Drosophila melanogaster: one gene and its partner. Each later gene encodes a partner of the first gene's protein in a complex. Each region holds a gene or a part of one and is shown on either strand. Other genes may lie near its edges.

Region 1 (5,051 bases):
CCTGTTTTTCATACAACGGTGTGGGTCCCATACATATGATTAATGGTATGTAAATATACCTAGTGATGTTTTACTGCCATATGCTGAATGGAATATGCCCTTATAATGGACATTCCAATAGGATAATGATCCGAAACGCAGAAGCAAATCGGCTAAGAATAAGTTCACCCAAAATAGAATAGATGCAATGCCGTGGCAAGCACCATCATCCGATTTAAACCCGATTGAAAACCTGTGGGGGGACATTAAACAATACGTGTCGAAGAATTCCCCGATGTCCAAGATTCAGCTTTGGCAAGTTGTGCAGGATGCATGGGCAAAAATTCCCCCAAACGTCCTCGTGGACTCCATGCCGAGTAGGTGTAAGGCTGTGCTGGCTAAAAAAGGCAATCCAACCAGGTATTAGTCCCTAATTAACACATTAAAAAAAAACTATGTTAGTTCTAAGTCATGTTGTTACTATTTTTTCATATCACTGCTATTTCAGTGAACACCAGAATTTCTGCCTATTATGTTGTTTTAATCTATATCTATTGAAAAAATAAAAGTGAAACATATGTTGAATTGTTTGATATAATAATAAAATTATGAAAAAAATTCCCATTACAACTTTAAATCATATGATTTTTTATCCTAAACTCGCAAGTCCCAAGCACTGCTATTTTTATGAACACAGCTGTATATATCAGCTAAAAGGTTGAGATTCAGCATACAGATTCTAAAGACAAATACGGAGCGAAAGTTTGTTAACCTATGTTGCCACGCCCACTCTAACGCCCTAAAACCGCGCAAAACTGCCACGCTCACATTTTAAAACAAATTTTAAATTTTTTCTCATTTTATTCCTTAATATTGATATCCCAGAAAAATAAAGCAATTTCGCGTTCGCATTCACACTAGCTGAGTTACGGGTATCTGAGTCGGGGAACTCGACTATAGTATTCTTTCGAATTCTATTTGTGTGGATCACCAAACATTGAAATGCTGTTACATATAGATTATAAATGTATTTCGTGAACACCCAATAAATCGTAATTTTGAAAATCTTCACAGCCAAAAAAACTCAGTTTAAAAATTTAATCACGTCAAAACAAAAACTGTGGGTTGGCTGTAAGTGTACTTCCCTGAAACATGGGTAGTTTATCGCATAGTTTAAAATGATGTCGTACAAATAGTTTTGAAACTACAGTTAAGGTTAAAATAATAGCACTACTGCAGGTGGAAAATTGATATCCTAAAAAAAATTATAAATTTTTTTTTTTTTAAGCCAGATTGCATGAATAATAAGTACCATATGTTGCCTCTTTGAGCAATAAATTTTTAGTCTCTCAATTTAACGGTTCTTTTTGTTTTTGGGCACTTGCTGCAAAAGTGCGCGAAATGAGGCGGTAACAAAAATAGCACTGAAAACGTATTTGCTGAATAAAATTAATGGGAGTGATTGCTTTGGTTTTTTTTACGACAAATTTTGAAAAAAAGGTGTTGCATTAAAGGTTTTAATTGAATTTGCTCCAAACGAAGACCAAAAATTCTCTAGTCATGGGTCACGGAAAGCATTGTACCGTCGAAAAAAGAAATTTGATTAAAAACGTGATCTCTGAAGGTAAAACCTACGCTGAAATTGGTCGCATTGTCGGTTGTTCAAACAAAATGATCCGCAAATCACTGCTGTTTGTCGAAAAGAACGAAACGCGGCGAGGAAAGCCTTCAATGTCCAACTTGGATGCTCTCCAAGCATCCAAGCGCTTGGTTCGGCAAAGCAAGAACCCGGTGACGGAACTGAAGATGGAGCTTCAGATATACTGGCTCAACTCCTTAATATGAAAATCTCACCCAAAGCATAATTCATGAACCAACGTGCTCTACCATTTACTGTCTCCGAATAGGACTATAACCGACCAAAATATATTCCGCTACTGCCGCTAATATGTTGACCGCAACTGTACATATATATTAAACATGAATCCATATCATGCTATAAATATTAATGGAATGGAAATCCCAAGCTAAGGAGTTTCCTATGTATGCTATATAAGCATATCTCGTTTTTGCAATAAAAAATTTCCTCTACCTAACACATTAATTGTAAAACTTTGAACAAATTCAGTTCCAAACGTTCAATTTTTTTCCACTTACATATATTCGCACTCAGGCCACTTATTCCAAGCCATTTCGTTATAGAGAATTTATGTAGTTTTAAAGTATATTCACGGCTATTCCAGGATTTCAAATTTGGGCGAGCGTGCACAATATTTGGTAATTTCATTGCAAATGCATATATGCATACTGCACATACATACATACAAATTTGGCCAGCGCCCGAATTTAAATACATATAATAAACCGGTAAAATGTAAGTGCACTTAGTTTAAATGTTTTTAGGCAAAGATTATTGAGAGAAGTAAAACTCGATCTTTTGCATTTGGAATTTTTGGGATATTCTGGTGCACACACATCTATACAAAATGTATATATTTATATGCATACACATGCACATCATATACAGCAAATTTTATTTTGCTGCTATCTTTCCCAATGCATGATGCATTTAATTTCGTATGTGTGAAACGCAGCTAACAATGTATTTAAATAAGAGCCACACTTTTTAAAAATACTATTTACATAAATATAATATATACTTAAGTACATAAAACAAAATGATTGCATGGCCGTTTTTAATTTTTACATACATACAACGTTGTATACCAGTTAAAGAAAATTTGTATTTTCTTAATAATTCTAAAGCAATGCAATATACACTGGAACGTTAAATGATTTTATTACACTTTTTTTAATATTTAGCAAAAAATGACAATTTTGTATGTATATCTGAATTATGGAACGGCGATAGTTTTCTAGTGAACAATCGGAAATCCGGCTTACTGTTTGTTTTCCTATATTTCACTCATTAACTATTATTTCTTTACATCGCAAGTCACTGAACATAATTTCTGTCTATTTTCGAATTACACCACACTTTAATTTACACATCATTGTATGTAAATGTTATCGATACTATAAGGCAGAGGAGAGAATTAAACAACTAGTTGTTAGTCCTAAGACCCGTTCATACCTATCACTATCGATACCTAAATTAACCGATGGCACACTTCAAAATGTAATGTTCACGAGTACATGGAAAATGTCTTGTTGTTACTGTGTAATGACTCGTACGAAAGTAATTTGGAAGGGGTTTGATTCCCAAGCCAGATAATATTTATTATCTCTCTAATTTCCTTGAGCATTATTAAAAAATGAAATAAATATATTTAATATATTCGTTTTCTTTAATATCGATAGTGTGATGAGACTATAAAGGTCTGTTCACAATGAAAATGTAAATTGAAAAATTGGACTTAAGAATTTCATGCTAACAGCTCCTCAATCCACAGCAAATATGTGCGCAAACTGTATCAAAGCATAATTTTGTTATTTAAAATTTCATGGCACAACTTTTTTTTGTTGGCCTTTGTGCACATTTTATGACCTATTGAAATATCTTCAACTGACACCGACTGCAGATGTGCATATTTACACATCTGATTTAAAGCATTGTTGTTATGACCATGTAGTTAGAGACTTAGTTAGTTAGTAAGAAAAAAAAATAATCAATAATTTCACTGTTTTGAGGGCTGATTAGCAATAGAGATTTTTTCTAAGAAATGACATATAGATAAAAGTTAAATGAATTGAATTGCAGGGTGTTTATTTGCACATGTACACATGAAGTGTATTCCACTATTGGCTGCTTACATTCTCAGCTTCGTGCGTGCGCAGTTTGCGGTATTTTTGGCGCTACTAAGGTAAATTCTATCCATAAATCGTCTATCTCACGTTAAACAACAGGATATCAACAACTTGTGGGAAACTGTCAGAAGATACCGTTGACGCACTTTTCAAAAGTTTATTCCCCTAAATCGTAAAATAGAAATGTAGAAAGGAACAAACTTATGGAGAATTGATATTTTCGGAACTATGAACTCTAGAGAGCTCAGAGCATGTAGATTCAAGTGACGCCACATTTTTCAAGATTGTTGCAGAACGTTTGTTGTTTAACCCTACCTCCCACAATCTGCCTTAAAATGTCAGAAATAAAAGGTTTACCCGTTATTCAGATAGTGGGAACAGTGGGCGTGGCTAAAATACGTTTGGCAAATCGATAGAAACAGCCAAGAGAATTTATAAAATAAAATCGAAAAATAATTCTTAAGAGTGGGCATAACAGTTTGGGTGTGGCAAAATTTTTGTGGTATGTCAATATCATGACAGATAATTAAATGAAAACAAAATAACAACACAACGCCCACAGAAATTGTGGGCGTTAGATTGGGCGTGACGTCGTTATGATACAATCTTGCTTATCCAATTCAAATTTAAATGATCGAGTAAATATTTTGAGAAGCACATGCCCAACCGACTAATAACGGAGGGAAATAAGATTTCAAGCAAAATTTTTTGAAGTGCTTTGTAGGATTAAAACTCGAGTGCCTATAATACATGTATACTATAAATTCCATTCTATATGTACAGCCTTTCCGCCGAATACCCCTAAAAAAACGACAACCAAATCCAGTCCGAAGTCACATGTCGAGATAAGGATAATAATGTATTTGTTAAATTTGATACACAGGCACCGTATTACTTATGCGGGGAACTTAGTGCCCTAGCTATTAAGTATCATGGAGAGGTAGCAGTTCCATACGAGGGCGATGAACTGGGCGTAGAGCACCTGGTAGCCCAGCGGCACGAATCTGAAGTTTAGCATCTGTGCGGCCGGCCAGAGCATATAGTTGCGGACCAATATAGATAGGTAGCTATCAAGAATGCGCTGCCGGATTCGGTCGATGGGCTCTCCGTTGGAGAGTGGCACCAAAAAAGACATGGCCATGGTAAAGGGTGGCGCAAAAAGGGTCTGGTCGACCAGCATTTTGGTAACGCCCCGCCGCATTGGCGAGTAGGTTTTGGGAACCCGGGACTCCAAAAAATGGTACCACCGGCGCAAAGTTGGGCCAACGAACACCAGTCCAACGATGCCGAAACGGAGGGTTCGC
Region 2 (4,759 bases), on another chromosome or scaffold:
GGTGGTGGTCTGTATCATCGTCGCAACGTAACGTATCGTATTCGTCTTTCATTTACCTAAGCGAAGGTTTTTTCACGGCTCAGCCGCCAGAGTTTTAAGTCACAGGTCAGGTTAAGTGACCTGCGGCCCATCTTCTTGGCCGCTTTAATGCCCTCAAATGATGGGGGTTGGCCTCAAGAACCCACGTACGAGAAATGCCATAAAAGTGCATAATAAATAATATAAATTACATTTGAATACCCTCTTCAGCGGCACAATTTATCACTCCGTTTTGCGGCTTAGTGAGCGGAGAAATCAGCGAATGGTACCGACCGCCACTTGGGTCGGTACTTCTTCTTTTAGTTGTAGCCCAGTGGAGCCACTTACAGAAATAATCAGTCATCTAGGAATAAAGACAGCTAATTAACACCTTTTCTGGGGCACCTAGATCTCAGCAACTTGGTTCTCCTCTCTGCTGTAGTTAGAAAGGTCTTAGTCGTACATATATATCTATTCTTGACCTTATATATATTATTGCTACATAGGGTATTTGGCTTATCGAGGTAACCACACTTGCAACCGGCGTTTTCGTAAGTTTTCATTTATTTTTTTTAGTGGCGTTCTCATATTTCACAAGCCACACACTTGGGTTCAATGCCAGGAAGTCCGTTCCGCTTCTGGCAGCCCATAAAAATACAGATACAATTATGCCAGTTCCACAAAAAACTGACCGTCTGGCGCTAAATTAATGAGCTCACATTCGAGATCAAGTTACGAATGTGTGCCACTATTTTTGGGATAGTTGGGTGGCACGCCCGACCACCTCCCCGCTGATAAGCATGGGTTTCGAAGAGTTGCGAGATAACAGCCTCATCAAGATAAGGGTGAAAAGTATGTCACGTTTGACACTTGTTGCCGCTCCCTTTTTCTACCTCATCTTTTTTTTGTTTTTTTTTCCTGCGTGTGGGAAGCCCGACAAAAACGTGTTAAATGGAGATACGTTTTTTTCTAGTAAAAAAGTGTAAACATCTAAGAACTGGCAGGGTTCCTTACTACAGACGTGATCAATACAAAATTGATTTCAGCGTGTAGTTATTAGATATGCACCGCTTACAATCGTCCGCCCACGGTAGAAATCGCCTGAGACAGTGAGGCCCCGCTGAGTTGAATTACAGCCTTTACTACGCCGGTAATAAAACACTTTTTTCAGATAATGTCCAATTACAAAGTGGTGTTATGAAAGTTCCTTATTCGTTTAATAATCATTTACTTAAAGACCATCATAACTACATTTCAATTACCTAAATGTATGAGTCTTGATATCCCAATTATATTTTCTGATAGGTTGTATTACTTTTTGAGCAAATCAGTTTTCCCAACTAGGGTTGAACTAATTTTAAGGCTTTTATCTTCAGCGTTTAGGTAATGAGCAATTGAAATTGCATTACATACATTAAGTTTAGCAGATTTTTTGGTGATCTATCTATCTATCTAGTGATATGTTGCCTTCCGAAAGAAGAAAACGTAGTAATAAGAGTTCATTTGTTTTATGAGGAGGATTCTAATTTGTTTTTCTTACTCGAAGAATGCCCACTGTACAACCCGTTTGGGTCCGTGGGCGTTTTTATTAAGCCGAACAAAGTGGCAACAGGTGGATTCGAGTGGCGTGTAGTGGATGTTGCCTTTTGGAGCCCGACTGGCTGCCAGTTTTGGTGGAGCTTGGACTCTGATCTGATGTAATGACACTCTGCATGTAGTGTGTATATATTTTTTTTAATGAATAATTATCAATTGTGAAGTCTGTTTTCTTTTGTTAAACCGCTATCGCCGGAGGTTCATTGCTCTGTTCTGTTTTTCTTATTTTCCACTTATCAAACAAAAATAAACGGAACAGACATGGTCTGTAGGATAGGTTTATCACCGGACTTCCGATGTTCGGTGAATCATGCAGACGAACCAGTTTACTATATATTTAGATGATTCAGCTAATTCTTTTTTTTTCTTGATTTCATTTTTTGGAGAGGCGTAGTTATGGCGCGACAAGTTTTTAGTTTTTCCTTTTTAAGTTTTCATTCACAAAACACAGAGGCCGCAAATGTGGGAGTTATTTACGAGGGTCAATTTGGACAGCCTGCACCGCAGTGGGGTTAAGTGGGACGCGTTCCAATTTTGGCCACTTGAAATGAGGGGGGGAAACGCACTTTGGAAATTGGGAACATGGGCTGGAACTTGTGCATACGTTTGTATGTAAATGCAACTTCCATTTGCCGTTTACCGTTGCAGCTCAGTGGTAAATTGATTAGGCTGCTAATCGATTCAATTCTATTTCTTTTTGGACATCAGAACCATAAACCCGTTTTACTGTTCCACAGACTAGCGAGCAGCGACCAGCGGCCACCGCCTGTCTCGCGCTTGAAAAACAAGTCCGATATATTCACCTGTAGCTACGCGTCACTTCTAAGCTGGCTAACTCTTTTGCTTCAGCTTCTTTTGCCACTTATTATCCGCTTCTCTTTTCGACTCGACTCGATTCGACTCAACTTTACCACTTTGGCTGCTGTTTACAGCCAACATGCACGCACACACACTCACACTCAATGATTTATTTTCTTGTATTACTTGTTTCTTATGTTGCTTTATACATGTTGTTGGTTTTGTTGTTTCTGCTGCTGTTGCTGCATGCGCATAAATTAAGGGGGCGAGAGCGAGAGGGTAGAGCAACACACGTCTGTACACAATGAAAACCTGTTTGTTGCTTTTTATGCTTCCAGTGCGTCTCTTTTGGGTGTGTTGTTGTTGCCTGGAGGTGAGAGACGCTATGCGGGGGTTGTCTTTGGGGATAGAAAACACTATTTCGGGCACTCGAAGTTTGCACAAAATCCTTTTCGATCGAATCCTTTGCCAGCAGGCTGCATTCGATCAGCTTTTCAACTCACCAAAATTCATAAAAACATTTAAATAAACGATCAAATTAAGCGAAAAACACGGAACACGAAAAAAGTGTATACAACTTCACTGATCGACGGCCATTTTAAAAGTGACCGCAGTGGGCCTCCTAAAATATACCACACAAATATACCGAACGGAATGCTAGTATTGAAGACTACCAGCAGCTATGCAATACGGTGATTTTTAGTAACACTAAGGTATGGCAGCGCCGTAAGTTCCTCTGCAAAGAAAAATAAAAACTAATGAATAAAATGAAGCAGAAATAAAGTGCAATAATCTTCCGACAACGAGAGGTTACAAGTGCAATACACAATGGCTGCAAAGTAAGTGAAATTGATAAGGTTTTATAAACAGTGAAAAACTTTACATCGTCTATGTGCCTGCGTCTGCGAGTACGTGTGTGTGTGTGGGCGGCGCGCTGTGTATGTGGGGGTATTTTTGTGTTTGTTTTGAGCTGCAGCCTCCGCCCTCGCAGCCACCCACCACCCCCTCGCCCATTAAATTTGCATTCACATACACAGGAAGTGTGATGGAAAGGGGGAAGAAGAAGACCGAGATAAGTATCGATTCCGATCGGTGAAATTGATAAAATGTCAAAGTTCAAAAGATTGGCAAACCGGTAAAATGAAATTTGATTGGTCTTAAGTGTTTTTCTATAAAAATTTTTTATAGATATTATTATAATGGAAAAAACCTTTTAGTATAAACATTTAATAAATACAGAAAGTGCATATATAATGCAAAAGTTTGTCTCTATGTCAAATTTTTAATTATTGAAAAGTTTTTATTATTCAACTATAAAAACTGTGTAATCATACATATATTGTTAAAAATAAATTAATTGACAATTTTACAATTAAAATTTTTTTATTTTTGGGTAAACAATTCTATATTTTCTTATTATTTCTTATTTTCAGTTAAGTATTTTTCCATTTCAAATTATTTTTAGCAAATTCTTAGAAATCATTTTTTACAAGTCCCAATTGGACCGTGTCTTAAAGGTCAAAATCCTATTAGTCATATACCGGGGTAGACTTTTTAGAACTGTAAGAATCTCACGTAGAAAGAATTAAAATTTGACTTGGGAACTCCCCAAGAAAATTTCATAGGCCAGGTGTTTAATGTAGTCACAAGTTTATCATGACAGAATGATTTTGCATTGGGCATGACGTGTGGAGATTGATTTGAACCAAGTTAATTGTCACAGCGAAGGCTACCGAATGCTTTTGCTAGATGAGTCGATTTTATTGTGTCCCTTTTTCAATTGCCTTATAAGATGGGAATTTTGCAATTATTTGAATTAGTAGGTGTACTGAAGTGTTTCTCGCGAAGCAGATGTGTGATTTTTTTGTATCTTCATCGTAAAAATCAAAACTCGTTTGCTTGCTACTTAAATCAACCAGCCTTCGTTTTGGGCTCAAAACTGACCAAGCGTTCAGATATTCAGATAGTTTTTGTTCAACCACAGACAGGTCATCATGTCTCGCGATTTTTTCGCGGTGAGTAGTCTTTTCGCATATGCAAATCAAAGTTTAAACATACCATTTTCAAATCATAATAATATTTAGCTGTTGGCAATTTTCATCTTCACTGCGGTCAACGCGGCACCGCAAATTTCACCAACTATCGTTCCGCAAATCCGCACAAATGGCTTTCAACTTGAGCCCCTCAATCAAGAATACTTTCTCAGGTAGCTAATCAAAGTCCAGAAGAGAGCTTCCCTTTACTTAGTTAGTTCTGAATCTGTAGAATCGAACATCCGGGTGGCACTATTCGCCAGGAATCCGTGAGCCAGAATGAAGCCGGACATCTGCAGGTTAAAGGTGTGATT

What was found.
Region 2: the proteins of PlexA (region 1) and Sema1b are in contact, whole or in part, in a crystal structure (PDB 6FKM), measured with the Drosophila melanogaster proteins. Residues at the interface, in NP_001245428.1 of Drosophila melanogaster: Leu122, Asp123, Pro125, Tyr217, Glu220, Val242, Thr243, Arg247, Asn251, Ser252, Tyr253, Ile401, Ser402, Pro403, Met405, Val408, Leu409, Thr410, Lys411, Leu412, Leu422, Asp423, Val424, Asn425; in NP_001163178.1 of Drosophila melanogaster: Ala106, Leu107, Lys108, Gly109, Gln175, Ala201, Phe203, Ser204, Asp207, Tyr211, Arg216, Gln219, Tyr220, Asp221, Leu222, Lys223, Gln227, Tyr274, Ser275, Ser385, Ile386.

What each region holds. Positions count from the first base shown.
Region 1 is NC_004353.4:1,024,080-1,029,130, forward strand, and holds the start of PlexA (plexin A), read right to left. Parts: upstream 3,023-5,051; 5' UTR 2,884-3,022; exon of another isoform or gene 2,691-2,883; intron 2,457-2,690; exon of another isoform or gene 2,137-2,456; intron 1-2,136. Other genes in the region: mitochondrial inner membrane protein MPV17, read right to left, coding at 4,664-5,051.
Region 2 is NT_033778.4:17,680,478-17,685,236, forward strand, and holds the start of Sema1b (semaphorin 1b), read right to left. Parts: upstream 3,023-4,759; 5' UTR 2,916-3,022; intron 2,518-2,915; exon of another isoform or gene 2,418-2,517; intron 1-2,417. Other genes in the region: CG42561 (uncharacterized protein), read left to right, coding at 4,407-4,427, 4,497-4,618, 4,678-4,759.